3 linked regions of the Anolis sagrei genome follow. The protein of the gene in region 1 purifies or fractionates together with the protein of each later gene. This does not show direct contact. Links are inferred from orthologs where the notes say so. Each region holds a gene or a part of one and is shown in the gene's direction. Other genes may lie near its edges.

What was found.
Region 2: the proteins of FOS (region 1) and STK40 purify together in Homo sapiens (affinity purification with mass spectrometry; 3 studies listed by BioGRID and IntAct, counting the BioPlex papers as one, with this or other methods). This does not show direct contact. The link is inferred for Anolis sagrei from reciprocal best matches to the Homo sapiens genes FOS and STK40.
Region 3: the proteins of FOS (region 1) and COP1 purify together in Homo sapiens (affinity purification with mass spectrometry; 4 studies listed by BioGRID and IntAct, counting the BioPlex papers as one, with this or other methods). This does not show direct contact. The link is inferred for Anolis sagrei from reciprocal best matches to the Homo sapiens genes FOS and COP1.

Annotation. Positions count from the first base shown.
Region 1 is NC_090021.1:305,109,529-305,119,882, forward strand, and holds the start of FOS (protein c-Fos), read left to right. Parts: upstream 1-5,757; 5' UTR 5,758-6,087; coding exon 6,088-6,228; intron 6,229-7,652; coding exon 7,653-7,895; intron 7,896-8,227; coding exon 8,228-8,335; intron 8,336-9,531; coding exon 9,532-10,254; 3' UTR 10,255-10,354. UniProt on the Homo sapiens protein: Nuclear phosphoprotein which forms a tight but non-covalently linked complex with the JUN/AP-1 transcription factor. In the heterodimer, FOS and JUN/AP-1 basic regions each seems to interact with symmetrical DNA half sites.
Region 2 is NC_090034.1:85,122,572-85,133,341, reverse strand, and holds the start of STK40 (serine/threonine-protein kinase 40), read left to right. Parts: upstream 1-5,707; 5' UTR 5,708-5,816; coding exon 5,817-5,820; intron 5,821-10,770. UniProt on the Homo sapiens protein: May be a negative regulator of NF-kappa-B and p53-mediated gene transcription.
Region 3 is NC_090024.1:128,577,794-128,588,334, forward strand, and holds the start of COP1 (E3 ubiquitin-protein ligase COP1), read left to right. Parts: upstream 1-5,532; 5' UTR 5,533-5,630; coding exon 5,631-5,995; intron 5,996-10,541. UniProt on the Homo sapiens protein: E3 ubiquitin-protein ligase that mediates ubiquitination and subsequent proteasomal degradation of target proteins.

The DNA of each region.
Region 1 (10,354 bases):
ATTAATTTCTGCAGCTGGCTCAAAGTCATGGGAATTCTCTGGTAGCAATTCAGGCCCTCTTCCAGGGACCATATCATCATCCCCAAACCCTTTAGGAACATTCTCACCAGAAAAGACACTTTGAACAGGAATCCCATTGCCATTCTCCATCAATAGCACCCTCATCATTAGACACATCATTAGATACATGAACCTAATTGTCATTCCCAACATCCAGAGTACCCTGAACATTAGATACAAGTACAGGCTGAATTCCACCACCTACTGTCTGTGACTCAAAAGTCTGCTATCCCATCAACATATTATTATTATTATTATTATTATTATTATTATTATTATTGGTGCCCCCAGTGGAGCAGTGGGTGAAACCACTGAGCTGCTGAACTTGCTGGCCGAAAGGCCGCAGGTTCGAATCTGGAGAGTGGTGTGAGCTCCAACTGTTAGCCCCAGCTTCTGTCAACCTAGCAGTTTGAAAACATGCAAATGTGAGTAGATCAATAGGTACTGTCCTGGCAGGAAGGTAACAGTGCTCCATGCAGTCATGCAGGCCACATGACCTTGGAGTTGTCTACGCTGGCTCTTCGGCTTAGGAATGGAGATAAGCACCAACCCCCAGAGTCGGACACAATGGGACTTAATGTCAGGGGAAAACCTTTACCTATTATTATTATTATTATTATTATTATTATTATTATTAGAAACACAACAAGATGAGTCCACAGCAAACACTCTGCTGGCTGTTGAATTTGATCACACTTCGGACACTTCCCAAGTGTCTAGGACTGTGTGATGTATCGGCTAATAATGTGTGCAGATCCCAGTAAGGTGGTCTTCTGCAGCTTGCAGATGGTAATTTTGTCAGTGCTGATTGTGTTTAAGTGCAGGCCAAGGTCTTTAAGCACTGCACCCAGTGTGCCGATCACCACTGGGACTACCTTTACTGGCTTGTGCCAGAGTCTTTGCAGTTCGATCTATTATTATTATTATTATTATTATTATTATTATTCAGAATTTAGACTGACAGAATTTTGGAGCATAATACTCCTGACCTCACAATTGTGGGGATAAAAAAGTATGGTTCATAGGTGTTGCAATCCCAGGCAACAGCAGGATTGAGGAGAAGCAACTGTAAAAGCTGACTGATATCAGGATTTAAAGATAGAATTGCAAAGACTCTGGCACAAGCCAATAAAGGCTGGGTGAAAAGGTGTTCCTGACCTAGTATATGACAGTAACAACTACTTTCAAAGCAAGTACAACACAATTAAACAGGAAATAACACTTTCAAACCAGAAATATATTTTTTCAAATGCATAGTTACTTATTATTATTATTATTGCTATTATTATGTATTGCCCACTTTTTCCCTCATCACTTAGAGCTGCTGACAATACTAAAAATGATACAATATACAATTTAAAACCTAAACACATAAACATTAAAATAGGACTATTAAAAATAGATAATTAAAACCATGCAAGTCACCAACAACCTATTAAAATTTGGGAAAAAACATTAAATCTCACTCTTACACAACATGCATCTTCTGAACCAAACTAGTGCCTAACATATCAGGGCAGAAGCATACTGGAAACCGGCTGGAGTAGAATTGTAGAATGAATGCAGTTTGACTCCACTTGAACTGGAGCCATGGCAGTTGAAAGTGGTATCAAACTGCACTAATTCTGCAGTGTGGGTGCGGCTCAGACAATACCCTGGATGGCTTCCAGAGGTTTCCTATAATTCAAGAAAGTGTTCTGTGTGACTCAAAAGTCTGTTTTCTTATCAGCAAACATTCTCCAACTAGTGGCTGCTTTGGTGATGTTTTCAGGCATACTGGAAACTTGGACTACATGATGTGATGTTACTGTCTGCAATTGGAAGCTGAGACTATTTCTATCCTTTCGACTATCTTTATAATATGGGGGCCAAAGTCTAAAACAGCTGGAGGGCCAAAATTTGCCCATGCCTGGTCTACACTGACCACATAATTCAGTTCAAACTACAATATTTGGCAGTGTAGATCCAGTCTGACAGGCCCCATAAATTGCCATATAATGCAGATTGAACTGGATGGTATGAGTTGACACTGTCCTATAATCCAGTTCAATGCAGTTCATCTGCATTCTGAAACTGCATTTAATGGCAGTGTAGATGAGAGCCTCAATCACCTTTCGGTCAGCCTAATTATAGGTATTACATAAACAGGGTTTTTGGAGTCCCCTGTGACCTCAGAAATGGGTCTGAAACCCCAGAGCTAAGAATTGCACCATCACTGTTTGAGCAAATGGCATGCGAGAGATTGCTGGCGTCCTTTCACCTGCATCTGAATGCATGATTAATACCAGGTAAAATGCTGAGCCAGCTGGAAATGAACTCAAGTGTCGTAATTCTGCCTAAGTGATTTATTTTCCCTTTGCATGAACTTGAACAGCCTCTGCGATGTCAGATGGGGATTCCCTTTAATTAGACCTGCTTTTCATTTTAACCCAGACTGCCCCTCCCAGCATTTCTCACCACTGGCTGTGCCGAACTGGGACTTGCAGTTCAACCACATTGGGAGGTGTGTCATTGCTCACCTTTGTCCTAGAAAGGTTCAAATGAAAAGTCCCAAATGAAAAAGAAAATAAATCTTCTCTATGGGTGCCTTTCCCAAGATATATTTGCCTACGTCTGAAGAAGTCATCCTCACCATTAATTTCTGTGCTGTTGTTCTATTGCGATATCCAGAGAAACCAACATAATAAGAACAACACAATACACCATAGTATAAACAGCTTTGCTAATCAGTTTTTATTAGTAACAAATTTGCTTAATAGGGGCCCTTCCACACAGCCCTATATCTCAGAATATCAAGGCAGAAAATCCCACATTATCTGAGTGTGGACACAGATAACCCAGTTCAAAGCAGATATTGTGGAATTTTCTGCCTTGATATTCTGTGGAAGGGCCCTGGATCCACACTCAGATATTGTGGAATTTTCTGCCTTGATATTCTGGGATATAGGGATGTGTGGAAGGGCCCATGTTACAGCAAGATCTACACTGCCATATAATGCTGTCACTGTATATAATGTAGTTCAAACTGCATTATAGGGGGTCTACACTGACCATACAATGTGGTTCAAATCCTAGGCCCCTTCCATACAGCAGTATAAAATTCACAATTAACTGGATTATATAACAATGTGGATTCAGATAATTCAGTTCAAAGCACATATTGTGGAATATCTGACTTGATATTCTGGGTTGTATGGCTGTGTGGATGGGCCCCTAGCAGGCATGTAGCCGGGGGGGGGGGGGGGGGGGGCTTGGGGGGCTTCAGCCCCCCCCCCCCCAAATTCTCATGGTGGTCTGCGAAAAGGCTTTTCTGGTACATTATTTAAACTGTTACGTTTATTCGTATCATGATCTGATCACCATGCTCAATATATCCCATATGCATGGGGGTATTGGGGTAACAATACAAAAGGTTTGCTAGGGTAGACCCTCTTTCACTCAGACTCAGCCCCCCCCCCTCCCCGAATCAAAATCCTGGCTACGGGCCTGGCCCCCTGGTGTAACTTTATAGTCAACTTCTGGCAGAAGCTGACCACAGAGTTGTATTGGAGGCCCCAGGGCCCTTCCACACAACCATATAACCCAGAATATCAGGGCAGAAGATCCCACAATATCTGCTTTGAACTGGTTTATCTGAGTGCATGGAGTGCCATTACTTTCCCGCAGAAGCGGTACCTATTGATCTACTCATATTTGCATGTTTTCAAACAGGAAGGTTGGCAGCAGTTGGGCCTAACAGTGGGAGCTCACCCCACTCCCTAGATTTGAACTGCCGACCTTCCAGTCAGCAAGTTCAGCAGCTCAGTGATTTAACCCGCTGCACCACCAGTGGGTTATGATACAGAGATCTAAATAGATGGAGATTATTTAAAGCCAAAACAAAAACAGCAGCAGCGATGGGACCTGTATAAATGAATGGAGGCATCTGCTCATATTTTCAATCTGGTATCACAATTACTAATACTCATGTTAGGGGGGGAAATGTCTGTAAGCTTGACATTGCTGACCCGAACTGGAAATGGTGTGGCTATGTACTCATATTGAACCTTGGCTCAGCATACCAAAGACAGATATGAGACATGGCAAAGGGAGTTGCTTGCAACTTGGGCCCTCCCTCCAGGTGTTTTGGACTCCAACTCAGCGACTGAGGGGGAAAAGGAAAGTGCCCGAGGCTGTGAGGAATGGTGGGAGTTGGAGTCCAAAACGCTTAAGCGGCTGTGGGGAGAAAGGAAAGGGCCTGAGACTGTGAGGAATGGTGGGAGTTGGAGTCCAAAAAACCTAGAGGGAGGGCCCAAGCTTGCCCATGCCTCGTCTATAATGTGTTTTGGTGCAGTTAGTAATCATTGGAAGCCTTTCTATAGCTCCACACTCCCAATATCTATGCTGTATGAGAGACATCCAATTATTTTCTCTTTTGGAAGGAGAGCGAGGGGACCTGAACATGAGGAAGAACTTCCTGACTGTGAGAGGTGTTCAGCAGTGGAATTCTCTGGCCTGGAGTGTGGTGAAGGCTCCTTCTTTAGAGGCTTTTAAAACAAGGCTGGATGACCATCTGTCGGGAGTGCTTTGAATGCGATTTTCCTGCTTATTATTTATTTATAGTGTTTATATTCTGCGCTTCTCACCCCGCAGGGACTCAGGTGGCAGATTACAATGCACATATACATGGCAAACATTCAATGCCATTTGGACATATGACATATAGAGACAGACACAGAGGCAATTTAACATTCCAGCTTTTTCGGCTTCATGAGGATATGCTCGATTCCGGCAACAGGGGGAGCTGCTGCTTCACCATCCACTTGTGACACGGAGTCCTTGATGGAGTACTTCCTCATTCTTCTGCACACTGCTGGAAGGTTTTATGGCATCGTAAATGCGTTAAAATAGCCTTCCCGCATAAAGCGGTACCTAAATTTCCTACTTGACAGATGCAACTGTCTTTTGGGCTGCATAGGTCAACAGCAGGGTTTGTAACCGAGGCGAGCCACGCGCACGCATAAAGCGATACCATAAATTTCCTACTTGACAGATGCAACTGTCTTTCAGGCTGTATAGGTCAACAGCAGGGTTTGTAACAGAGGAGAGTCACGAGAACGCATAAAGCGATACCTAAATTTCCTACTTGACAGATGCAACTGTCTTTCGGGCTGCATAGGTCAACAGCAAGCTAGACTATTATTGGTCGGGAGCAATTTTCCTGCTTCTTGGATTGGATGGCCCATGAGGTCTCTTCCAACTCAAGGATTCTATGATTCTATGATTCTGTGTCCTATATAGGATATGGTTTTAAAACCCTTTAAGGTGAAATCGACCTGTGTGTGGCCAAACCCTGCAAAGGTCGTCCACCTCTGCTCTGGCGGACAATTGGTGCTCTGTCCCTTTAAGGCGCCACTCCTCGGGTGTCTGGTCAGCACTAAAGCGGGCAGCATCTGCATGCAGAACCCGTCGCTGCGGCTCTTGCCGCTTTCGCTCCCCCTAGCCGTCGCCACAGGCACGCACCAGCCCTTTTGGCCGCAGCCCTGGAGCGCTTCCCGGCAGTCACACCCCTCTTGGACAGGATGTATGCCATATAAGGATATTTACGTCAGTGGGTTCCCGAGCCTGGGCCGAACCATTTCGGGAGCGGGGGCGGAGCCTGACGCGGCGCCCGGCTCTTAAAAGCGGCCCGCCGCGGAGGACGCTTCAGGCAATCATCCCGACGCCGCCGTCAGGGTTTGTCGCCGAGGAGAGCCACGAGCACGCTTTAGTAACCCATTTCGGGGCGTCCCTCCGCCGCCCCTCTCTCGCCGCCTCCCCCCGCCGAGGTGGAACCTTCCAGTCGTGACGTCCGTTCATTCAGAAGTCCCACCGCAAGAGGATAAAAGGCGGAGGTGCCGCTCTTTTTACTCCAGAAGCAGAACTAAGCAGTGAGGGGAGCAGACACAGCAGACGACGACGACGGGCTTTGCCACTCCGAGAGGCGCTTCTTTCGGGAGAATTGAACCGCCCCGAAAGGACACGGAAGGGTTTGTGTCAATCCCCGAGATGATGTACCAGGGCTTCGCCGCCGACTACGACGCCGCTTCCTCCCGCTGCAGCAGCGCTTCTCCGGCGGGGGACAGCCTCACCTACTACCCGTCTCCGGCAGACTCTTTCTCCAGCATGGGATCGCCTGTCAACGGGCAGGTGAGCGAGAGAAGGACGCGGGGAAGAGATTTTCTGGGGTTGGATGGGGCGCCTTGAAAGGCAGGCGAAGTGGGTCCCTTCTCCCTTCCTCGCTCGGACTCCAAAGAGCTGATGTTTCCTTATTGGATGCTTGATGGATATATAGCCTTATGGAACATTAAATATTATTATGACTATTAATATTATTGTCTTATTGGATGTATGCTCCTGTCTTGTTGCTTTGAGTCTCCTTTAGAAGGGGATAGAATAATAATATAATATAATAATGTAATATCATAATATAATCTTACTGGATGCATGGTCCTGTCTTTTGCTTTGAAGCCCCTTTAGAAGGAGATAGAATAATAATAATAATAATATAATATAATCTTACTGGATGTATGGTCCTGTCTTTCGCTTTGAGCCTCCTTTAGAAGGGGATAATATAATACATAATAATGTAATATAATAATATAATATTACTGGATGTATGGTCCTGTCTTTCGCTTTGAGTCTCCTTTAGAAGGGGTTAGGATAATAATAATAAAATAATATATTATAATATAATATTGACTTATAATCTATTATAATATTGACTTACTGGATGTATGCTCCTTTCTTGTCGTTTGAGTGTCCTTTAGAAGGGGATAGAATAATAATATAGTATTAATAAAATAATAATATAATATAACAATATAATATAATTATATAATATATACATATATTATATAATAATATAACAATACAATATAATATTTATATTATCTATATTATATCATTATATTATATATAATACTACATATATAATCATAATAATATACCAATATGATATAATAATATTTATATTATTTCATTATGTTATATATGATAATATTATATTAATATATTATAATATAATACAAAATAATAATCGTGCCCTATATATTCCCAATTCCTTTGTTCAGAAAAGGCATCATTGGCCATAGAATTAAATGTATAATCTTACTGAAGGTATAGACGAGTCTTAAGGGGGGGGAATAATAACAAATGACATTTATTATTGGTAGTAATATGATTATTATCATCTCCCGTATCGCCCTACATATTTCCCTTTGTTCAGAGGAAGGCACCACTCAGTATGGGGTTATATAGAGGCAGGGGCGCGGGTGATTGGCGTTTTCTCTTTTTTTCTCCCCCTGCTGACACGCGAAAGAAAAAAAAAAGATGAATGGGGAAGGGGCGGGGGCGCTCTCGGCGCGCGCGTAAAAAGCGGCTCCATTGATAAAAACGCGGCTCCATTCAGGAGACTCCGGAGCGGCGCTTGCGTCAGCGCGGACGTCAGAGATATTTATAGCCTGAGCCCCGTTCGCTCGTGCGGAGCCTGACGATGGCGGGCGACGGTGGCCTCGCGGCTCCAAATAGCGTTTCTGGAGACTCTGACCTTTTTGCTTTGCCTCCTCCCTTAGGACTTCTGCGCCGACCTTTCGGGTTCCAGCGCGGGCTTCGTGCCCACGGTGACGGCCATCTCCACCAGCCCGGACTTGCAATGGATGGTCCAGCCTACGCTCATCTCCTCGGTGGCTCCTTCCCAGAACCGCAGCCACCCTTACGGCCTGCCCGCCCCGCAGACGGGAGCCTTTGCCAGGGCAGGACTAGTCAAGGCAGCCAGCAGAGGGACCAGCATTGGGCGCAGAGGCAAAGTCGAGCAGGTAGGTCCAGAGAGACAGCACGCCTGCAGGAGGAGCTGCTAAGCAGGTTTGAGCCAACCTGGGTCCTCCAGGGGCTTTGGACTCCAACTCCCACCATTCCTAACAGCCTCAGGCCCTTTCCTTTTCCCCCTCAGCCGCTAAGGAAAAGGAAAGGGCCTCCTGAGGCTGTTAGGAATGGTGGGAGTTGGAGTCCAAAGCCCCTGGAGGACCCAAGTTGGCCCATACCTGCTGTAGATGCACTCCCACTGCCCTAGGAGTCAAATATGAAGTAGAGTTGAGCTATATCTCTTTCTTTCTGGAGATTAACAGCTCTGTTTTCCCTCTTTTTGCAGCTGACGCCAGAAGAGGAAGAGAAGCGGCGAATTCGCCGTGAGAGGAACAAGATGGCAGCCGCTAAGTGCCGCAACCGAAGACGCGAGCTGACCGACACCTTGCAATCGGTGAGTCTTTCTTCTCTAGGCCTTTCCCCAGTCCTCCAGAGGTTCTCTCTGTCTCTCTCCAGGCATGGGCAAACTTCGGCCCTTCGGGTGTGTTTTGGACTCCAACTCCCACCATTCCTAACAGCCTGGAGTTGAAGTCCAAAACATACCCAGAGGACCAAAGTTTGCCCATGCCTGCTCTAGGCCTTTTCATGGTCATCCAGATGGGTTGTTGTAGGTTTTTCGGGCTGTATGGCCATGTTCTACAACAGGGGTCCTCAAAGTAAGGCCTGAGGGTCGGATAAGGTCCTCCAAGGTCATTTACCCAGCCCTCGCTCAGGGTCAACCTAAGTCTGAAATGACTTGAAAGCACACAATAACAACAACAATCCTATCTCATCAGCCAAAAGCAGGCCCACACTTCCCATTGAAATACTAATAAGTTTATATTTTTAAAAATTATTCATCATTTTAATTATTGTATTGTTTTTCAGTGTTTTTTGCACTACAACTAAGATGTGTGCAGTGTGCATAGGAATTCAAATTATGTTTTTCTCAAATTATAATCTGGCCCTCCAATAGTTTGAGGGACTGTGACCTGGCCCTCTGTTTAAAAAGTTTGAGGACCCCTGTCTAGAAGCATTCTTTCCTGACGTTTCACCTGCACCTGTGGCAAGCATCCTCAGAACCATATAACAAAGAATTCCCCTAGGCAGTAACAAGCAACACCTAAAAACTGTCAGGTCATCAAATCAAGGTGGCCAATTGAAACATTTACACTTAGCTCTAACAGACAAGAGTTCTTTCTCCCACCCTGGATCTTACACAGAGACATAAACTCAATTTTCCTAGTTTCCAACAGACTTCACAACCTCTGAGGATGCCTGCCATAGATGCAGGCAAAACGCCAAGAGAGAATGCTTCTGGAACATGGCTATACATTTATATTGTTTTGTATTTTATTTTATTTTTAATTTTATCATATTTTACTCTATGCTTTGCTGTACTGTTGGGGTTGGCCTCATGTAAGCTGCTCCCTTGGGGAGATGGTGGTGGGGTATAAATAAAGTATTATTAATATTATTCTGCCCGAAAAACCTACAACAACCCAGTGATTGCGGCCATGCAAGTCTTTGACACTCTTATTGTCCTTCAGATGTTCTCTTTGCCTCTCTCTTTCCATTGCCTGACTCTCTCTCTCTCTCTCTTCTCTGCAGGAGACTGACCTCTTGGAGGAGGAGAAGGCCTCCCTCCAGACCGAGATCGCCAACCTGCTGAAGGAGAAGGAGAAGCTGGAGTTCATCCTGGCCGCTCACCGCCCGGCCTGCAAGGTGCCCGAAGAGCTCCGCTTCCCGGAGGAGATGGCTGTGGCCTCCGTATCCGCGCTGGAGCTGCTGGCCGGGGGAGGGGGCCACTCGGTGGCCTCTTCGCCCCAGGAAATGGGGGAGGACGAGGAGGAAGAGGATGAGGAAGAGGCGTTCGCGTTGCCTCTTCTTCCGGAGGCCCCCCGCGCCGAGCCTGCCAAGGAGAGCGGCAACAGCAACAGCAGCAACAACTTGCTGGAGCTCAAGTCGGAGCCTTTCGACGACTTCTTCGCGCGCTCCTCCTCCTCGCGTTCGGTGCCGGACGTGGACCTGTCTGGCTCGTCCTCCTCCTTCTACGCGGCGGACTGGGAGCCGATGGGGCCCGGGGCCCACCCGGCAGGGGTTGCGGCGGTGTCAGCGGCAGCGTCGGAGATGATGCTGGAGCCGCTCTGCACGCCGGTGGTGGCCTGCACGCCGTGCGCCTCCTCCTACTCCTCCTCCTTCATCTTCACCTACCCGGAGGCCGAGCCCTTGCCCTTCCCCACCTGCGCCGCCGCCCACCGCAAGGGCAGCAGCAGCAACGAGCCCAACTCGTCCTCCGACTCGCTCAGCTCGCCCACCCTGCTGGCCTTGTGAGCGCGCCAGAGAGAGAGAAAGAGAGAAAAAAAGAGGGAGATTGACCGTCCCCGGCGCTTCTCCTCTTCCTCCTCTTGTCGAAGCCTCCTTCCCACTCCCA
Region 2 (10,770 bases), on another chromosome or scaffold:
GGGGTTTCCAGTTATAATTTGCATTTATAGGGTAAGCCACCTGCCAATTATAGTTAGGATTCCTGGTCCTGCCCCTTTTTTGCTTTTTGGAGGGAAGGGAGCCTTTTCCAGTCAGTCACAGCAAGGTTAACCACTGTATAGGATGTGTTTACTTCCCCTGTACAAAGGCTTCAACCTTTAAGAGCTCCAGGGAAAGAACGCCAGGGAAGCATTCCCACAGCTTTAAAGGTCTCCTAAGAACTCCTGGGATTCCTTCCTACAGCCTTGGGAGTTTCCAGGAAGACAGCCAACTCTACAGAATATCCATCGCCTGTCTGATAGATCCTCTCAGTGTTTTGAGAAGCAGTTCGGCCTGGCAGAGGAGTCCACACCAGTGAGGGTTGGATTTTTGTTAGCCTTGGGAGAAGTTAAAAGGGGGAATTTTCCTTTGAAGAAAGTTATTGAAGATAGTGCCTGTTCTCTGCGGACAAGTTTGAGAGAACTGATACTTTAAAGCTTTACAATTCCTGTTTGATTCATTAATAAAAGACTTTGTTGTGCCTTTTAAGCCATTTGAAGATTCCTTTTGTAAAGGAAGCCTCTGAAAACTTTTCCTAGGGCCCCTGGCTTCCCACTGGGTAAAGGTTACACATCCTATATCTAAAGTCAACTAACTATAGGCCCAGCGGTGACAGAACAGTTAGGCACCTTGAATTCCTTTAAGGAGAAAGGCAGGATATTATTATTATTATTATCATTATCATCATAATCTATATCAGAGGTCCTCAAACTTTTTAAACAGAAGGCCAGGCAACTGTCCCTCAAACTGCTGGAGGGCCGGATTATAATTTGAAGGAAAAAAAATGAATGAATTCCTATGCACACTGCACATATCTTATTTGTAATGCAAAAGGCACTTAAAAACAATACAATAATTAAAATGAAGAACAATTTTAACAAATATAAACTTAGTAGTATTTCAATGGGAAGTTTGGGCCTGCTTTTGGCTGATGAGATAGGATTGTTGTTGTTGTTGCTGTTGTTGTTGTTGTGTGCTTTCAAGTTGTTTTCGACCCTGAGCGAGGGCCGGGTAAATTACCTTGGAGGGCCGTATTCGGCCCTCGGGCCATAGTTTGAGGACCCCTGATCTATATAAATAAAATGTAATGTTCGTTTGTGGGATTAACATAACTAAAACCAACTGGACGAATTTGAACACAATACACCAGCAGGCCAGTGAGTGACCATCACTCATAAAAACAGTAAAAAAACACAGCAGTAGAGATTAAAAAAATACATTACAATGGATGTGCAAAACCACAAATATATACGCAAACATACATATATACTCACATACACAATATATATGTATACACACACACACAACACATATACACAGACTGGGCCACAGAAATGTGTGGCAGGGAAAGGCTAGTTAATGATAAATTGTTAGCCACCTTGAGTTCCTATGGGGAGAAAGGTGGGATATACATTTAATAATAATAATTTTAGCATTATCATTATTTATCATCATTTTCTGCCAATCTATATCATGAGAGCCCAAGGTGGCAGGCAAAGGCATGAAATCAATTTAAACAATAGAAACAGAATAACTTTATTGCCCTTGTACAGTGTAAAACAAAATGTTTTCCCCAGCACACATCAACAACAACACTCCCACCTCACCCTAACCGCCCCCCAATGGTACATCAATGGGAAGCCATGGAGTTCAATATAGTTACAGCTCTATGATAAAAGCTGTCTCTCAGGCTCCTTCCACACAGCTGAATAAAATCCCACATTATCTGCTTTGAACCAGGATATATGACAGTGCAAACTCAGATATTCCAGTTCAAAGCCGATATTGTGGGTTATTCTGCCTTGATATTCTGGGTTATATGGCTGTGTGGAAGGACCCTCAGTCTGTTTGTCTTTGCATACAGGACACCCATGACAATTAGATTCATCATAGTTTGTGGCAGCCACACAAACAAAGTATCTGGAGGAGAACAACTACATTCAAAGTAAGGGCCACACAATTAAACAGGAAATAACACTTTCTAGCCAGGAACAGATTTTTCTTCTCCAATTTGGTTTCAGAGTGTGATTCCAGGTGGGAAGTTCTGACCAAAGCAGGAGATCACAAGAGGGCTTTATTATGATTATTATGTTTATTATGTTTATTTATACACCACGTTTTGTCTCCACAAGGAGGCTGTGGGCCCTTCCAGACAGGCCCTATATCCCAGGATCTGATCCCAGGTTTTCTTCTTTAAACTGGATTATATAAATCTGCACTGCCAGATAATCTGGGATAAAGAGAAAACCTAGGATCAGATCCTGGGATATATGACCTGCCTTGAAGGGCCCTTCCAAACAGCCATATAACCCAGAATATCAAGGCAGATAATCCACAATATCTGCTTTGAACTGCATTATCAGAGTCCACACTGCCATATAAACCAGTTCAGTGTGGATTTTATACAGCTGTGTGGAAGGGGCCAAAGCAGCTTACATTTCAATAAAATTTCAAATCTACAAATAGATGAAACACTACAACAGAATTAAATATCATTGGTATTTCTTAAAGCAGGCATGGGCCAACTTGGGCCCTCCTTGTGTTTTGGACTTTAATTCCCACAACTCCTAACAGCCTACCTACGGGCTGTTTTCACAGCAGGAGCCTGGATTTGCTGAAGAGAAGCAGAGGACAAAGAAGGGAAGAAAAGCTCATTGAGCTGCGTTGAGGTAGAGGTGGAGGGAAGGAAGGAGGGCTGGATGCCGAGGGGAGGCTTCGGGGCTGCCTATTGGCAGCTGTGTCTTTTCTGGAAGAGTGGAGGCAAGGGATTCTCTTACCTCTGCTCTTCCAGGCAGCAGCCGCGCGCTCCCACCGCTGCCTTCACCTCCTCTGAGAAAGAAGAAGAAGTAAGGGAAGAAGAGGAGAAAGGGAGAGGAAAAAAAGAGGGAGAAAGAGAAGAGAGAAAGGAGGAGGGAGAAAGATAAAGATAAAGAGAGAGGAAAGGGGGAGAAACTGAAACGGGGAGAAGGAGAGAGAGCTTCAGGGGGAGACAGAAAGAACAAAAGGAGCTCTGCGTTAGCAGAGCCAAAACTGATTTCACTAAGACGCAGGCCTCCTCCTCGGCGGGCCGGATAAATTCCCTCGGGGGGCCGCATCCGGCCCCCGGGCCACAGTTTGGGGACCCCTGGTATAGAGCTATAGGATCAAAGCGTTGGAAGGGATTTGGGGCCCTTCCACATAGCCATATAACCTAGAATATCAAGGCAGAAAATCCCACAATATCTGTTTTGAACTGGAATATATGACCTTGAAGGAGCTGGGGGTGGTGACGGCCGACAGGGAGCTCTGGCGTGGGCTGGTCCATGAGGTCACGAAGAGTCGGAGACGACTGAACGAATGAACAACAACAATATGGTAGTATGGACTCTGTCTGATTGCCAGATAGAAAGACACAATCAAAGCCCTCCCAACAGATGGCCATCCAGCTTCTGCTCAAAGACAGTTGGAAGAGACAGGAATCCTAGAATGAGAATTATAGAACCCTCAAGTTGGAAGAGGCCCTAAGGGGTTGCCATAAAGGAAGACACCATGCAAGACCTCCCGACAGAAGACCACCCAAGCTCTGATGATAATAATAATAGAATCTAAAAGTTGGAAGAGATCCTTCTGCCAGGAAGGAAGACACAAAGCCTTCCCGACAGATGGCCATCCAGCCTTTGCCTTTAAAAAATACCCAGAAACAGGAGGCCTCCCATGTGTAGGGTCACCATGATTCAAGCTTAATGGCAGCTAGCAATAACACTGACAAGTCATGTGTCAGCAATAACCCCGCCTGGGGTACATTCACTCATGCACTTTTGACTGCCTTGGCTCCATGCTATGCCATTCCGGGATTTGTAGTTTGGTGATGCCCCGGCAGTCCCCTTTTGGCAGAGAAAGCTAAAGGCTTTGTAAGACTGTTTGTTTATTTAAAACATTTCTATTCCGCCCTTCTCACCCCAAAGGAGACTCGGGGCAGAGCACAGCATATATACGGCAAACATTCAATGCCGGGACAAGAATTTATATGCGCATACATAAACATTAAAAACATTTATCTCAATATTAAAACACACCATTTAAAACCGTCTTAGTCATCTCCGTTAAATCGGCCTGGTAATCTTTCCTATTGTTGCTTTATTGCCCTGTCCCGAAAGCTTGGTCCCACAGCCAAGTTTTTACCATCCTTCTGAAGGACAGGAGGGAGGGAGCCGATCTGATCTCACCAGGAAGGGAGTTCCATAGCTGGGGGGCAATCACTAAGAAGGCCCTGTCTCTCATCCCCACCCATCGCACCTGTGACAATGGCGGGACGGAAAGCAGGGCCTCCCTGGAGGAGCTTAATCTCCGTGATGGTTCATAGGAGGAGATGTGTTCGGACAGATAAATTGGGCCAAGTCTGTTTAGGGCTTTATAGGCTAAAGCCAGCATTTTGAATTGTGCCCAGTAGCAAACTGGCAGCCAGTGGAGCTGCCGTAACATGGGAGTTGTATGCTCCCTGTATGCCGCCCAGGGCCGTAGCCAGAAAAAAAATTCGGGGAGGGTTGACAATTTTGGGGGAGGGGTTAAAAATTTGGGGGGGGGGATTGAAAATTTCGGGGAGGGTTGACAAATTTTGGGGGGTGGGGGTGGGATTGAAACCTGCCTCCTAGCCCACGCTGAAGCAAAGAGCACAGCAGGGGGCGGAGCAGCCTTCCATAGCCTGCAGCTCCACCCCTGTCAACCACCTCCACCAAGTCTGGCCTCCTTAATGAGAGCATTCAACACACAAACCCCCAACTTGGTTGCTTCACTACATCGGCTATTGCTGCAAGTAATGACAGTGTGAATAAATTGTCAATATTTGCTTGAGATAGTGCTTACAGTTCTGGAGGGACTCTTGAGATAGTGCTTACAGTTCTGGAGGGGGGGGGTTGAACCCCTAAAACCACCCCCTCGCTACAGGCCTGATGCCGCCCGTTATTAACCTGGCTGCCTCTCGTTGGACTATTTGAAGCTTTCGAGCAGTCTTCAAAGGCAACCCCACGTAGAGTGCGTTGCAGTAGTCTATCCTGGATGTAGTGAGAGCGTGGACCACCGTGGCCAAGTCTGACTTCCCAAGGTACAGGCGTAGCTTGCGCACAAGTTTTAATGGAATCATGGAAGACTATAGCTTCCATGATTCCATAGCCTTGGGCCATGGCAGTTCCAGTGGGGTCAATTCAAATGTGTAGGTGCACCCTTTCTCTTGGACCAAGCATGGGCCAACTTGGGCCTTCCTCCAGGTGTTTTGGACTTCGATTCCCACCATTCCTCACAGCCTCAGGCCCTTTCCTTTTCCCCCTCAGCCACTTAAGCCTGAGACTGTTAGGAATGGTGGGAGCTGAAGTTCAAAACAGCTGGAGGAAGGCCCAAGTTGGCGCATACCTGGTCTAAGGCATTTCAGAGAACAAGGGATGCTCCATTGGTACCCAGTTCTATTTAGTGATGCAACCCACCTCCTGTCAATCATAGTCAGGATGGGCGGGCTCTGCCTACTCCTCTCGACCAATCGCAGACGCCCTAGAACCCCTCCTTTAGCCTTTCAGCCAATCAGAGGCAAGCCGCGAGGGCGAAGGGATCCCGGAAACAATATGGCGGCTGGTGGGAGTGAGAGGGAGGCGTGGCGGTGATGAGCGGCGGCGGCGGCGGCGCAGTGACGTCGGTGTGGCGTCACTTCCGTTGTCAGGTGGCGGAGTCGGTGCGGGACTGGCGAGACGTCGGACGGTGGCCGGCGGGGCCGGGCCCGGAGGCGGCGAAGATGGGTGAGAAGGAAAGGGAAGGCCATGGAAGAAGGCCCGGCTGGCAGGAGGGCTATCTGTCGGAAGGGCTTCCTGAAAGGGCTTGTTATTGGGTGGCCTTCGAGGCCCCTTGTCATTCCAACGGAAAAATCCAATGAGTCCCCTTCCTTCTCTGGGGGATTTAAAGCAGAGGCTGGATGGCCATCTGTCGGGAGGGATTAGATTGTGCCTTCCTATTTGGCAGAAGGGGGTTGGTTTGGATGGTTCTTGGGGTCTCTTCCAGCTCTAGCATTCTGTAATACCGTATATGTATTATATATCATGTATATCTATCTGTTATCTCTCTTTCCGACCGACAGGTCGCAGGTTCGAATCTGGGGAGAGGCGGATGGGCTCCCTCTATTAGCTCCAGCTCCTCATGCGGGGACATGAGAGAAGCCTCCCACAAGGATGATAAAAACATCAGAAATCATCCAGGCGTCCCCTGGGCAACGTCCTTGCAGACGGCCAATTCTCTCACAACAGGAGCGGTTGCTCCTGACGCAACAAAAAAATAAATCTCTTTCTCATGGCCATCTGTCGGGAGTGTTTTGATTGCGTCTTCTCACCTGATAGATGAGGGTTTAACAGTAGCCTTTGGGGTCCCTTCCAACTCAAGGATTCAGTGATAACAATATTTTTGGTGACCATGGAGTCTCCCTCTGTCTCTGGAGGTTTTAAAGCATAAGCTGGATGGAGGGATTGGATTGTGCCTTCTAATGGCACAAAGAAAAGGGTTGGACTGGATGGTCCTTGGAGTCCCTCCCAGCTCTAGGGGTTTATGTTTCTAAAGGAGAAGATGCCTCTTCGAAAGGGCCTGGCAGGTGAATGCCCTGGAGGACATAGCTGGCAGGATGGCCATCTGTGGGAAGGGCTTTGAGTGTGGAGTTGGGCTGGATGACCTTTACAGAGGGGACTGAGGTGGAGTCCTTTACGAAAGAACATGGCTGGCTAGGCGGTGGGCTGAAGTGGAGGAACAAGGTTGATTACTAGTTTAATGTTGACATGTTGCAGGTGTTTTAGATTGCAGTTTGTATTGTTTTTAGTGTTGCAAACTGCTCAAAAATAATAATAACACCATCTAACCCGGTGTTTGTCCCTGGGTTATAAATGGCATTTCCACATTGGTTCTCTCATCAACACATGTGGAAAGTTTAGTAAACTGCAAAAAATATTGTTTTTTACGGGACATTCTGCGGCACATTTTGCTATCGTTTTTCAATAAATATCTCACAGAGTCTCAACCAATTCAACCTAGTTGGGGCAGCCACAAAAACAATGTTTATGGAGTAGAACAACTGCTTTGAAAGGAAGTACCGCACAATTAAATAGGAAATAACACTTTCAAACCAGGAACTGAACATTTTTCAAATTTTGATAGCATGTGATAGCAGCAGCAGCCCAAGCTCAGTTTGAATACCAATTTTGCTGTGGTCTTAAATGAACCCAGGTGATTCTGAGTGTTCATCTGTGTGTGACCCCTTGGTTTCATTCTCCAGCACATTTGTCCTCTATATGGTCTAGTTTAGTAGCCTAAACAAAACCCCAGTTGCCAAAATAGACACCCAGCATCAGTAAAATGACCTCTAGGAAGCATGAATAGTCCTGGACTCGGGAAGATAGAAAAGGGATGAGAATATAATGGGAGGTCTTCCTACAGTGAGAGAGGGAGACCATCCATCCGCAATAAAGCCTCCTTTGTTTATTGGATCACCTTTTTGGGGAAAGAAGCACCTTCTCATTCCTCCCTAAATTGTATGTACACTTAGATTTGTAAACAAAGAAATACTGAGGCTTTCCTCGCCCCTTATACATTTACCCCTTTTGTAATGATAACACAATGTAACAAAATTTGGGGGGGGGAGTCTGTTCTTGGTTTGATGTTCTTTACAGATTAATTGTGCAGAACTTATTGGCTGCCACAAACTGAAAAATTCACTGAAAAACACTATTTGCAGTTTAATAAATATTTTCCATGTTTTTGTGACTGAACCAGTTAGAAAATAACATTTACAACCCGGGGACATAAATCGTGTTGTAAATCTCTCCCTAAAATGTGGCTGTGTCTCCCTCCCCCCCTTTAAATCAGTCTAAATCGTTTAGACCGAACAAGGTAAACAACCGGCTTTTTCTTCTTCTTCCTTTCTCTGCACTTTCTTCTTCCCAGCCACACCTCCCGTTCTTGTGTCTGCACTTCCTCCTCTTCCCCCACTTGCGCTTGCTTACTTAAAGTGTACATCCAGCCAAATATATATATAGCCCTCCCTACGCTATGCCTTCCAGAGATCATAGATAGATAGATAGATAGATAGATAGATAGATAGATAGATAGATAGATAGATAGATAGATAGATATCCGATCTCTGGAAGGCATAGGGCAGGGCTAACACTCCTGTGGAGTTTCCTTTGCTACCTGTGTCCTTGTTCAGAAGGTTTCACCTTGCTTTCTGGTCGTATAACAATTGGATTTTGAAAAATGTGGCTTGTTCTGGGAACAAGGTTTGGTGAGAAAACTTCAGTGGAGACCCCTTTTCCCCATGATAATAACTCTTCCAAGAGTGGATTTGCCTTCCTTCCAAGGGCTAGATTCCTCTCACTTCCTGTTGTCTCAGGCCTGTTCTTATCTAGGAGTTGTTTGTAAGTCAAATGTTTGTAACTCGGGGACTGCTTTTATATAGGTGCTTACAAACAGGATCAAGGAAATCCCAGGCTAAGGGACAATACATTGAAGTATAGTTTAACCATGTTATGTATTATTTTAATTCAATTTATTTAAAATTTCCATTGTATGTTTTTAAGTCACTATGGAGTGCTATATGTAAGCTGCCTTGAGTCCCCATTGGGGTAGAGAAAGGCGAGATATAAATAAGGTAAATAAATAAATAAGGGTTTTTCAGGTCTTATGCCAATGTTGGTGCATAGAAACTTCAGGTGCTGCCATTTCCCTTCAGATAAGACATTTAGGAACTGGCTGCAAGTGTGCTGATAATGTTGACTCATCTTTCAGTCATTGTTTTAAATGCTTTTGCTTCTATGCATAGTTTAATTGCAGCATATGGTTATCTTCCTGTCTTTGTATGTGCTTTTATACACATCGGGTTTCATTTTTGTGAACCTGCTGCCCAAGAGTCTGATGGAGATTGGATGGCCATTTGTAGGGAAAGCTTGGATAGTGCATTCCTATGTGACAGAATGGGATTGGACTAGATCAGGTCTCTCCCAACTCTAGGTTTCCCTTGTATTTACAGTGGCTGCTCCTCAGTGATGCCACGTGATGCTGATAGGAAGATGTGTGTGTGGGAGAGCATCTGATTTATGGGCATTATGAATATATTTGGCAAGTATATTTTCTGCTTGAGGTCTTTAATTATGGAGGAGTCAGTCAAGTTGTGAGCTAGCGATGATGGCGAAATCAGGGTGCTAAAACTCTGATTCTCATAGCCAATGGATGTGGCTTCTGATATCTCCCTGCAGTGCATGATAGAGGAGAGCATGGACAGAACAATGGGACATTGGTGCATTGGTTTGCAGGGTGATGTACCAGCAAACCCTACTGAATTATGTGACACGCCCATGTCATCAGGAATATTCCCATCCTGACCTTGGAGGTGTGCACCTGGAGAAGGGAAGGTACAGAGGAGCACAGTTTATATGCAAAAGTACATATAAAATTATATGTGCCGTGTATATGAGCAGAAACAAGCAGCAGCCCTCACTGGAGATTCTGAGCAACCTTAACCTCTCATGCCATGAGAAGTCACAGTATGATGCTAATTTTATTATTTTTTACTTTATTGAAATAATTACACTATGTAGCACAATTTTTGTTCCTGAGTTATAAATGTCATTTCCTAATTGGAAAAGGTGTATTAAACCTGGAAAAGGTGTATTAAACTCCAACATCCTTTTTTTTTTTTTTTTTGGGAAGGACATCCTGCAGCACATTTTAGGATAGTTTTTTAAAAATAAATATCTCATTGAGTCCTAACCAATTCCAACCTAGTTTTATAGCAGTCACAAAAACCAAGCTTCTGGAATAGTATAACAACTACTTTCAAAATAGGTGCCGCACAATTAAACAGAAAATAACATTTTCAAACCAAGAACAGATTCATAGAATAATAGAGTTGGAAGAGACCACATGGGCCATCTAGTCCAACCCCCTGCCATGCCATAGTATCCCTGACAGATGGCCATCCAGCTTCTGTTTAAAAGTTTCTAAGGAAGGAACTTCCACCACACTCCAATGCAGAGAGTTCCACTGCTGAACAGCTCTTACAGTTAGGAAGTTCTTCCTAATATTCAGGTGAAATCTCCTGTAATTTGAACCCATTGCTTCAAGTCCTAGTTTATAGGGAAGTATAAAACAAGCCTGTTCCCCATTCCTTATGACATACTTTCACATATTTATACATGGCTTTCGTGTCTCCTCTCAACCTTCTCTCCTAAAGGCTAAACATACCCAGCTCTCTAAGACACTCCTTATAGGACATGGTCTCCAAACCATTGATCATTTTAGGTGCCCTTCTCTGGACAGCTTCTAGTTTGTCAATCTCTTTTAAACTATGGTGGCCAGAATTGGGCACAGTATTCCAGGTGAGGTCTGACCAAACCAGAATAGAGGGGCACCATGACTTCCCTCAATCTAGACACTATACCCCTTTTGATGCAGCCTTAAATCCCATTATCTTTTTTAGCTATTGCATCACACTGTTGATTCATGTTCAACTTGTTTTCCACTAAGACTCCAAGATCTTTTTCACATGTACTATTGACGAGCCAGGCATCACCCATTCTGTATCTTTACATTTCATTTTTTTTCTGCCTAAGTGAATTATCTCTCATTTCCCCTTGTTGAAATTCATTTTGTTAGCTTTGGCCTAGCTCTCTAATCTGTTATAGTCATTTTGAATTCTAAAATAGCTTATACCCCTC
Region 3 (10,541 bases), on another chromosome or scaffold:
AGTGCCTAGAGCAAACTTTTGTTGAGAGGTGATTAGATGTCCTTGTTTGTTTCCTCTCTGTTGTTGTGCTGTTGTAATCTTAGAGTTTTTTAATACAGGTAGCCAGATTTTGTTCATTTTCATGGTTTCCTCCTTTCTGTTGAAATTGTCCACATGCTTGTGTATTTCAGTAGCTTCTCTGTGTAGTCTGACATGGTGGTTGTTAGAGTGGTCCGGCATTTCTGTGTTCTCAAATAATATGTTGTGTCCAGGTTGGTTCATCAGGTGCTCTGCTATGGCTGATTTCTCTGGTTGAAGTAGTCTGCAGTGCCTTTCATGTTCCGTGATTCGTGTTTGGGCACTGCGTTTTTATTTTAATGGCTTGTATTGTTGTTATTATTGCTTGTATTGTTGTATTTGGGCTTGGTCTCATGTAAGCCGCACTGAGTCCCTTGGGGAGATGGTAGCGGGGTACAAATAAAGTGTTGTTGTTGTTGTTGTTGTTGTTGTTATTATTATTATTATTATTTTTATTTTTATAGATGCTTTTGAACTGTGGTGCTGGAGGAAAATGCTGAGAGTGTCTTGGACCGCCAGAAGATCCAACAAGTCCATACTTCAAGAAATAAAGCCCGACTGCTCATCAGAGGGAAGGATACTAGAGGCCAAAATGAAGTACTTTGACCACATCATGAGAAGAAAGGAAAGCTTAGAGAAGACAATGATGCTTGGGAAAATGGAAGGAAAAAGGAAGAGGGGCCGACCAAGGGCAAGATGAATGGATGGGATCCTTGAAGTGACTGGATTGACTGGAAGGAGCTGGGGGTGGTGACAGCCGACAGGGAGCTCTGCCGTGGGCTGGTCCATAAAGTCACGAAGAGTCGGAAACGACTGAACGAATATTTATTTGTCGTGTCAGGGCAACCAGTCAATTGCATTACATTTCTAACATAACAAAACAGACAAACAGACAAAATACACAATTTGCGAGTTTGGTAGTTGATTAAATGTCCTTTGACCAGTATCTGGCCACTTGGAGTGCCTCTGGTGTTACTATAAGAAGGTCCTCCATTGTGCATGTGGCAGGGCTCAGGTTGCATTGCAGCAGATGGTCTGTAGTTTGCTCTTCTCCACACTCGTATGTTGTGGATTCCACTTTGTGGCCCCATTTCTTGAGGTTGGCTCTGCATCTCATGGTGCCAGAGCGCAGTTTGTTTAGCGCCTTCCAAGTTGCCCAGTTTTCAGGGGGGAGTCTCTCATTGGGTATCAGCCATTGGTTGAGGTTCTGGGTGTGAGCCTGCCACTTTTGGACTCTCGCTTGCTGAGGTGTTCCAGCGAGTGTCTCTGTAGATCTTAGAAAACTATTTCTAGATTTAAGTCGTTAAACGTCTGTCTGATTCCACAGCAAGCTGGCTTCAGGAAAGGCAAAAGCTTCACATTGCAAGTGTTGAACCTGACTCAGCACAGAGAAGATGGCTTTGAAAGGCAGCAGATCACAGGAGCTGTCTTCATAAATCTGTCAGCAGCCTATGATACTGTGAACCACCGCCTCCTCCTGAGAAAAATGTATAATATCATAAAGGACTACCACCTCACGCGCCTCATAGGAAACCTGCTACAAAACAGGAGCTTTTTTTGTTGAGTTCCAGAGCCAGAGAAGCAGATGGCGGAAACAGAAGAACGGCCTACCTTAGGGGAGCATGCTGGCCCCATCCATGTTCAACATTTACACAAATGACCAGCCACTGTCAGAAGTGACAGAGAGTTTCATCTATGCTGATGATTGTGCCATTACCACTCAAACAGGGAGCTTTGAGATGGTTGAACAGAAGCTCTCTGAAGCTCTAGGTGCTCTTACTGCCTATTACAGGAAAAATCAACTGATCCCTAATCTATCTAAAACACAGACATGTGCCTTTCACCTTAAGAAGAGACAATTATCCCGAGCTCTGAGGATCACCTGGGAAGGAATCCCACTGGAGCATTGCAGCACACCCAAATACCTGGAAGTCACTTTGGATCGTGCTCTGACCTACAAGAAGCACTGCCTGAACATCAAGCAAAAAGTGGGTGCTAGAAACAATATCATAGAAAGCTGACTGGCACAACCTGGGGATCACAACCAGACACAGTGAAGACATCCGCCCTTGTGCTGTGCTACTCTGCTGCTGAGTACGCATGCCCAGTGTGGAACACATCTCACCACACTAAAACAGTGGATGTGGCTCTTAATGAGTCATGCCGCATTATCATGGGGCGTCTGCGCTCTACATCACTGGAGAAATTACACTCCTTAGCCACTGTTGCACCACTTGACATCCGCCGGGAAGTAGCAGCCAATAGTGAAAGGACCAAGGCATTGCAGCAGGTAACATCTCCAACTCATCCCGTTTGGGTATCAGCCAGCACGTCAACGACTTAAATCAAGAAATAGTTTTCTAAGATATACAGAGACACTCGCTGGAACACCTCAGCAAGCGAGAGTTCAAAAGTGGCAGGCTCAAACCCAGCACCTCAATCCGTGGGTGATACCAGATGAGAGACTCCCTCCTGGGCACACCAAAGACTGGGCTACTTGGAAAGCGCTGAACAGACTGCGCTCTGGCACCACGAGATGCAGAGCCAACCTCAAGAAATGGGGCTACAAAGTGGAATCCATGACATGCGAGTGCAGAGAAAAGCAAACCACTGACCACCTGCTGCAATGCACCCTGAGCCCTGCCACATGCACAATGGAGGACCTTCAGGAAAGGCAACACCAGAGGCACTCCAAGTGGCCAGATACTGGTCAAAGGACATTTAATCAACTACCAAGTTTACAATTTTTTTCCTTTTTTAATGTTTGTTTGTTTGGTTCTGTTACAAATGTAATACAATGGTATGGCTGCTGATGACACGATAAATAAATAAATAACAACTGAACGAATGAACAACAACAACACAGTAAGCAATATAAAATGGAAGCTTTGGAAGCTTTAAAAGAGAGGCTGGATGGCCATCTGTCGGGGGTGCTTCTAAGGGCATATGCCGTGGCAATAAAGGCGGCAAAGAAATCTTTCTTTGCGGCCAATATTGCGTCCGCAAAGAACCGTCCGGCGGAGCTGTTTTGAGTTGTCAGAGGTCTATTAAACCACACCACTCCGGAGGGGAACCCTGACAACTCAACGGCCCGCTGTGAAGCATTTGCTCAGTTCTTTGCGGACAAAGTCGCTTTGATCCGTTCTGGCCTGGATACCATGTTAACGGCAGTCTCTGAGGATGTAACACGAGCACCTGCTTGTCCGATTTTGATGGATTCATTTCAATTGGTGAAACCCGAGGATGTGGACAAGATACTTGGAGGAATGAGAGCAAACACAGGCATCCTAGACCCCTGCCCATCCTGGCTCGTGAAGGAAGCCAGAGGGGGATTGGCCGAGTGGGTGGAAGTGGTGGTTAATGCCTCCCTTCGGGAAGGCAAAATTCCAGCCAGCTTAAAACAAACTGTAATAAAACCGCTGTTGAAAAAACCATCACTGGACCCCACTCAATTTGTCAACTATCATCCTGTTTCCAATCTCCCCTTTTTGGGCAAAGTCCTGGAACGTGTGGTGGCCTCACAACTTCAGGTATTCTTGGTAGACACGGATTATCTGGATCCGGCACAGTCTGGCTTTAGGCCGGGGCATGGTACCAAGACAGCCTTGGTCGCCTTAGTGGATGATCTCCGCCGGGAGCTAGACAGGGGGAATGTGTCCCTGTTGGTCCTGTTGGATCTCTCAGCGGCCTTCGATACCGTCGACCACGGTATCCTTCTGGGACGCCTCGCGGGAATGGGCCTTGGTGGCACTGTTTTGCAGTGGCTCAGGTCCTTCCTAGAGGATCGTACCCAGAAGGTGTTGATGGGGGACAACTGCTCGTCCTCACAACCATTGTCTTGTGGGGCCCCGCAGGGTTCAATACTGTCCCCCATGTTGTTTAACATCTACATGAAGCCGTTGGGAGAGATCATCCGGAGTTTCGGGGTGCGGTGTTATCTGTACGCAGATGATGTCCAACTCTGTCACTCCTTTCCACCTACTACTAAGGAGGCTGTTCAGGTCCTGAACCGGTGCTTGGCCGCTGTGTCGGACTGGATGAGGGCTAACAAATTGAAATTGAATCCAGAGAAGACAGAGGCACTCCTGGTCAGTCGCAAGGCCGAACAGGGTATAGGGTTACAGCCTGTGTTGGACGGGGTCACACTCCCCCTGAAGACACAGGTTCACAGCTTGGGTGTGATCCTGGATTCATCACTGAGTCTGGAACCCCAGGTCTCGGCGGTGACCAGGGGAGCATTTGCACAATTAAAACTTGTGCGCCAGCTGAGCCCGTACCTTGGGAAGTCTGACTTGGCCACGGTAGTCCACGCTCTGGTTACATCCTGTATAGATTACTGCAACGCGCTCTATGTGGGGCTGCCCTTGAAGACTTCCCGGAAGCTTCAGATGGTCCAGCGCTCGGCAGCCAGGTTGTTAACAGGAGCGGCACTCAGGGAGCATACCACTCCTCTGTTGAGCCAGCTCCACTGGCTGCCAATCCGCTACCGGGCACAATTCAGGTGCTGGCGTTAGCCTACAAAGCCCTAAACGGTTCCGGCCCCACTTACCTCTCCGAACGCATCTCCACCTATGAACCGACGTGGACGTTAAGATCAGGCACGGCTGGCGGGGACGAAGGACAGGGCCTTCTCGGTGGTGGCCCTTCGGCTATGGAATGCCCTACCTGTAGACATCAGACAGGCCCCTTCGCTGCTGGCGTTTCGGAAGAAGGTTAAGACTTGGCTCTACGAGCAAGCGTTTGGCTAAACGGTGCAACTGAACACAGGAAGACGGTAAAATTGAACATAGGAATGGCACAAGGATTATGAGAATGGATTTTGCTCTGTTATCGAGGCGTTATGAATTGATAATAATTGTTGATTTTGTTGCTGTGTATGATGTGTTTTAACTGTTTATTGTTGTGATAACCTGCATTGTGTAAACCGCATTGAGTCGCCTAATTTAGGCTGAAAAATGCGGTATAGAAATAAAGCAAATAAATAAATAAATAAATGCGATTTTCCTCCTTCTTGGCAGGGGGTTGGACTGGATAGCTCACGAGGTCTCTTCCAATTCTGTGATTCTATGAAATGCCAGCGTCCCCTAATTTTGGAATGACTTTTGAACCATTTTCAGCCCTAAAACACAAGCCTTCCTCCACGCGCTGACCAAATGTGATAGGCCGCTGTGGTTGCTAGGCTACCGCTGTCCAGCCCTCTTGCGCAGGCGCGTTGACCTTTGCCTGCTCCGTTACGACGTGACGACCCAAAAAAACAAAAACAACTTCGACGCGTTGAAGACGCTATGGAGGTTGCGCACGCGCAGTGCCGGCCCCTGAATCAAGTTCCGACGAGAAGGGAGGGTGTTGGGAGCCTCCGCCCCGCCCCTTTGGTTTGAGGGCGGGCGCAGGGGCCAATCAGGTGCCACGCACGCGCTCCCTGGCAGGCGTAGGGGCCAATCAGGTGCTGCGCACGCGCTCCCAAGCAGGCGCCCGTCCTCCTCCTCCTTCCTTCTCCTCCTCTGAGAGGAAGCCTTGGTGCGGCCCGCTCCCCTCTCGGAGCGTCGGGGGAGATGCGCTGAGCCGGAGCCGGGATGTCGGGGAGCCGGCAGCCGCCTCAGCACTCCGCGGCCGGGCCTCCTCCCCCGGGGTCCTCCTCCACGTCCTCCCCTTCGGTCACCACCTCGGCCTCTTCGGGCACTGCTTCGGCGGCTTCGGGCGCCTCGTCCTCTTCCGCCTCAGTGGGGCTGGGGGCCCCTGCGCGGCCTGTCTTGGTGGCGGCCGCTGCCTCGGGCTCTTCCTCCAGCAGTGCAGGCCTGGCTCGCCTGGCGGGGGGAGGCCGGGCTGGGAGCAGCGGCCCAGGCAGCGCCAACAGCAGCAGCAGGAAGAGGCCACTGCTGACGCCGCTCTGCAATGGCCTCCTGAACTCCTACGAAGACAAAAGCAACGACTTCGTGTGGTGAGCGAGGGGCGCCCAGATGGGGAAGGAGCGGGGGAGGGGGAGAAGGCTAGCCATTGCTTACCTGCCTCCTCTTCAGTTGCTACAGCGAGTCTTGGCCTTACATACACCCATCTTGCAGGTCACTCCTATGCGCCCCATCTTTGGTCCTTTAGCTCCCAGAATTCCTCAAGGTTTAATCTATCTATATATATAAATACTAGCTGTCCCCTGCCACGCGTTGCTGTGGCCCAGTCTGGTGATCTGGAAATGAAGTAATGAGAATGTGTTGGTTTCTAATATATGTGATTTCTTAATGTTTCTGAGTAAACAGTATTTCTTGCTGTTTCTTTGCCAGTGTTGATGTGGAGATTGTCTGGTTTGCCTACTCTGGAACATGTAACATATCATTGTCCTTTTTTCGGGGTTCCCTTTGAAATCTTTGGTACTGCATCTGTCATATGTGTGTGTGTGTGTGAATGGCTGGATGGCCCTTTGTCAGGAGGGCTTTGTTTTATTTACTTTATTTATTTACTTTGCTTATATATCGCTGTTCTCAGCCTGGGGGCGACTCACAGCGGTGTACAACATAGAAAGAACAAAATTCAACAATTCAAGACATAATATAAAATTCACATCCAGCATTAAACAAAAACATCATCATCAAAAACATCATCATCAAAAACATCAACATTACTACAAAAGCCATTCCGTGTCGTCTCATCGTCAAACCCACAATCTGGTATCATTTCCGTTGTTCCATTCCTATGGTCAAATTACCAATCACTTCTTGTTCAAATGCCTTCTTAAATAGCCAGGTCTTTAATTTCCTGCGGAATATCAACAGGGAGGGAGCTAGCCTGATGTCCACGGGAAGAGCGTTCCACAGCCGAGGCGCCACCACCGAGAAGGCCCTATCTCTCGTCCCCGCCAGCCGTGCCTGTTAAGCAGGCGGGATCGAGAGCAGAGCCTCCCCGGAAGATCTCAAAGTCCTCGTGGGCTCATAGGCCGAGAGGCGGTCAGTTAGGTATCTTGGGCCGGAACCGTTTAGGGCTTTATAGGCCAATGCCAGCAATTTGTATTGAGCCCGGTAGCAGATCGGCAGCCAGTGGAGCTGGTACAGTAGGGGGGGTTGTATGCTCCCTGCGTCCCGCTCCTGTTAGTATCATGGCTGCCGCCCGTTGGACCAGTTGGAGCTTCCTTGTTGTTTCTTTGCCAGTGGAGATTGTCTGGTTTGCTTTAGGGGTCCCTTTCAAATCTTTGATATACATCTGTCATATACACACATATATATATGTGTGTGTGTGAATGGCTGGATGGCGCTTTGTCAGGAGGGCTTTGTTTTGTTGCCCTGGTGAAGGGAGCTGGACTGGATGGCCTTAAGGCAGCATTTCTCAACCTGGGAAGTCAATACACCAAGGGGGGGGGGTCACCAGGGGGGTGTCAGAAGGGTCACCAAAGACCACCAGGAAACACAGTATTTCCTTTTGGTCATGGGGGTTTTGTGTGGGATGTTTGTCCCAATTCCATCGTTGGTGAGGTTTGGAATGCTCCTTGATTGTAGGTGAACTATAAATCCCAGTAACTACAACTTCCAAATGTCAAGGTCTATTTCCCCCAAACGCCATCTGTGTTTATATTTGGGCATATTGAATATTCATGCCAAATTTGGTCCAGATCCATCATTGTTTGAGTCCACAGTGCTCTCTGGATATATGTGAACTATAACTCCCAAACTCAAGGTCAATGCCCTCCAAACCTTTCCAGTATTTTCTGTTGGTCATGGGAGTTCTGTGTGCCAAGTTTGGTTCAAGTCCATCGTTGGTGGAGTTCAGAATGCTCTTTGATTGTAGGTCAACTATAAATCCCAGCAACTACAACTCCCAAATGACAAAACCATAATGTTTTGATTGATGGTCACTCCTTGTGTAGAGAGACATTTTGTTGCCAAATTTGGTGTGATTTTGCCCATTAGTTCTTTTGTTTTTAAGGTACTCATGCACAGAGCATATATAGATAGATAGATAGATAGATAGATAAATGTAATGTTTGTTTGTGGGGTTAACATAACTCAAAAACCACTGGACAAATTGATACCAATTTTAGACACAACACACCTTTCAGGCCAACAAGTGACCATCACTCCTAAAAACACTGAAATATACAGCAGAAGAGACTTAAAAAGCAAAAATATAAAATAAAATAATGCTACAACGCACATGCAAAACAACATACACATATGATGGTAATCTATAAAATAAAAATGTAATGTTCCTTTGTGGGATTGACATAACTCAAAGACAACTGGGCGAATTGACACCAAATTTGGACACAATATGCCCATCAGGCCAACGAGTGACCATCACTCAAAAACATTGATTTTGTCATTTGGGAGTTGTAGTTGCTGGGATTTATAGTTCGCCTACAATCAAAGAGCATTCTGAACTCTATCAACAATGGAATTGAGCCAAACTTTGCACACAGAACTCCCATGACTAACAAAAATACTGGAAGGGTTTGGTGGGCATTGACCTTGAGTTTTGGAGTTGTAGTTCACCTACATCCAGAGATCACTGTGGACTCAAACGATGATGGATCTGGACCAAACTTGGCCCGAATACTCAACATGCTCAAGTGTGAACACTGGTGGAGTTTGCGGAAAACAGACCTTGACATTTGGGAGTTGTATTTGCTGGGATTTATAGTTCACCTGCAATCAAAGAGTATTCTGAACCCCACCAACGAGAGAATTGGGCCAAACCTTCTATACAGAACCCCCATGACCAACAGAATAGACTGTGTTTTCTGGTGGCCTTCGATGACCCCACAACCCCCCCAGGGGTCCTGACCCCCAGGATGAGAAATGCTGCCTTAAGACCATCCAGTCCAACTCCCTTCACCAGGACAAGAAAACATGAACAAAGCCCTCCTGACAAAGAGCCACCCAGCCATAGATATAGATAAATAGATATTAGGCCTGTCGGTTTTAGTTCGTTAATTCGTTAATTCGTAATTAAATCGTTATTTTAACCATATCCGAAGCGATTTCAAAACATATTTTTAAACCCGGAAGGGTTTAAAAATATCGAAACAGCAGCCCCATTTTTTTTACGAGCTTCAGCTCGTGTCGTTAATGGGATGGCGGCTGCTGTGCTGACTCAGTGCTGGTGCCTGGGAGCCAATCCGGCGCTCCCAGCTTCTGCGCCCTCCTCCTCCTCCTCCCAGCTGATTTGCAGGAAGTGCGAGGAGGAGGAGGAGGAGGGCGCAGAAGCCGGAGCCCCCGCGCGCGCTCACCCGAGGAGGAGGAGGAGAAGGAGGGCGCAGAAGCCGGAGCCCCTGCGCGCGCTCACCCGAGGAGGAGGAGGAGGAGGAGGGCGCAGAAGCCAGAGCCCCCGCGCGCCATCCGGCTCCGGCTTCTGCCCCCTCCCTTCTCCTCCTCCCAGCTGATTTGCAGGAAGTGCGAGGAGGAGGAGAAGGAGGGCGCAGAAGCCGGAGCGCGCGCGGGGGCTCCGGCTTCTGCACCCTCCTTCTCCTCCTCCTCGCACTTCCTGCAAATCAGCTGGGAGGAGGAGAAGGAGGGCGCAGAAGCCGGAGCGCGCACGGGGGCTCCGGCTTCTGCACCCTCCTTCTCCTCCTCCTCGCACTTCCTGCAAATCAGCTGGGAGGAGGAGAAGGAGGGTGCAGAAGCCGGAGCCCCCGCGCGCGCTCACCCGAGGAGGAGGAGGAGGGCGCAGAAGCCGGAGCCCCCGCGCGCCATCCGGCTCCGGCTTCTGCCCCCTCCCTTCTCCTCCTCCCAGCTGATTTGCAGGAAGTGCGAGGAGGAGGAGAAGGAGGGCGCAGAAGCCGGAGCGCGCGCGGGGGCTCCGGCTTCTGCACCCTCCTTCTCCTCCTCCTCGCACTTCCTGCAAATCAGCTGGGAGGAGGAGAAGGAGGGCGCAGAAGCCGGAGCGCGCGCGAGGGCTCCGGCTTCTGCACCCTCCTTCTCCTCCTCCTCGCACTTCCTGCAAATCAGCTGGGAGGAGGAGAAGGAGGGTGCAGAAGCCGGAGCCCCCGCGCGCGCTCACCCGAGGAGGAGGAGGAGGAGGAGGAGGGCGCAGAAGCCGGAGCCCCCGCGCGCCATCCGGCTCCGGCTTCTGCCCCCTCCCTTCTCCTCCTCCCAGCTGATTTGCAGGAAGTGCGAGGAGGAGGAGAAGGAGGGCGCAGAAGCCGGAGCGCGCGCGGGGGCTCCGGCTTCTGCACCCTCCTTCTCCTCCTCCTCGCACTTCCTGCAAATCAGCTGGGAGGAGGAGAAGGAGGGCGCAGAAGCCGGAGCCCCCGCGCGCGCTCACCCGAGGAGGAGGAGGAGGAGGAGGGCGCAGAAGCCGGAGCCCCCGCGCGCCATCCGGCTCTGGCTTCTGCCCCCTCCCTTCTCCTCCTCCCAGCTGATTTGCAGGAAGTGCGAGGAGGAGAAGGAGGGCGCAGAAGCCGGAGCCGGATGGCGCGCGGAGGCCGCTTGTGTGAGTTTTCAGGGCTGGACCATGTTCCAGAAGCATTCTCTCCTGACATTTTGCCCACATCTATGGCAGGC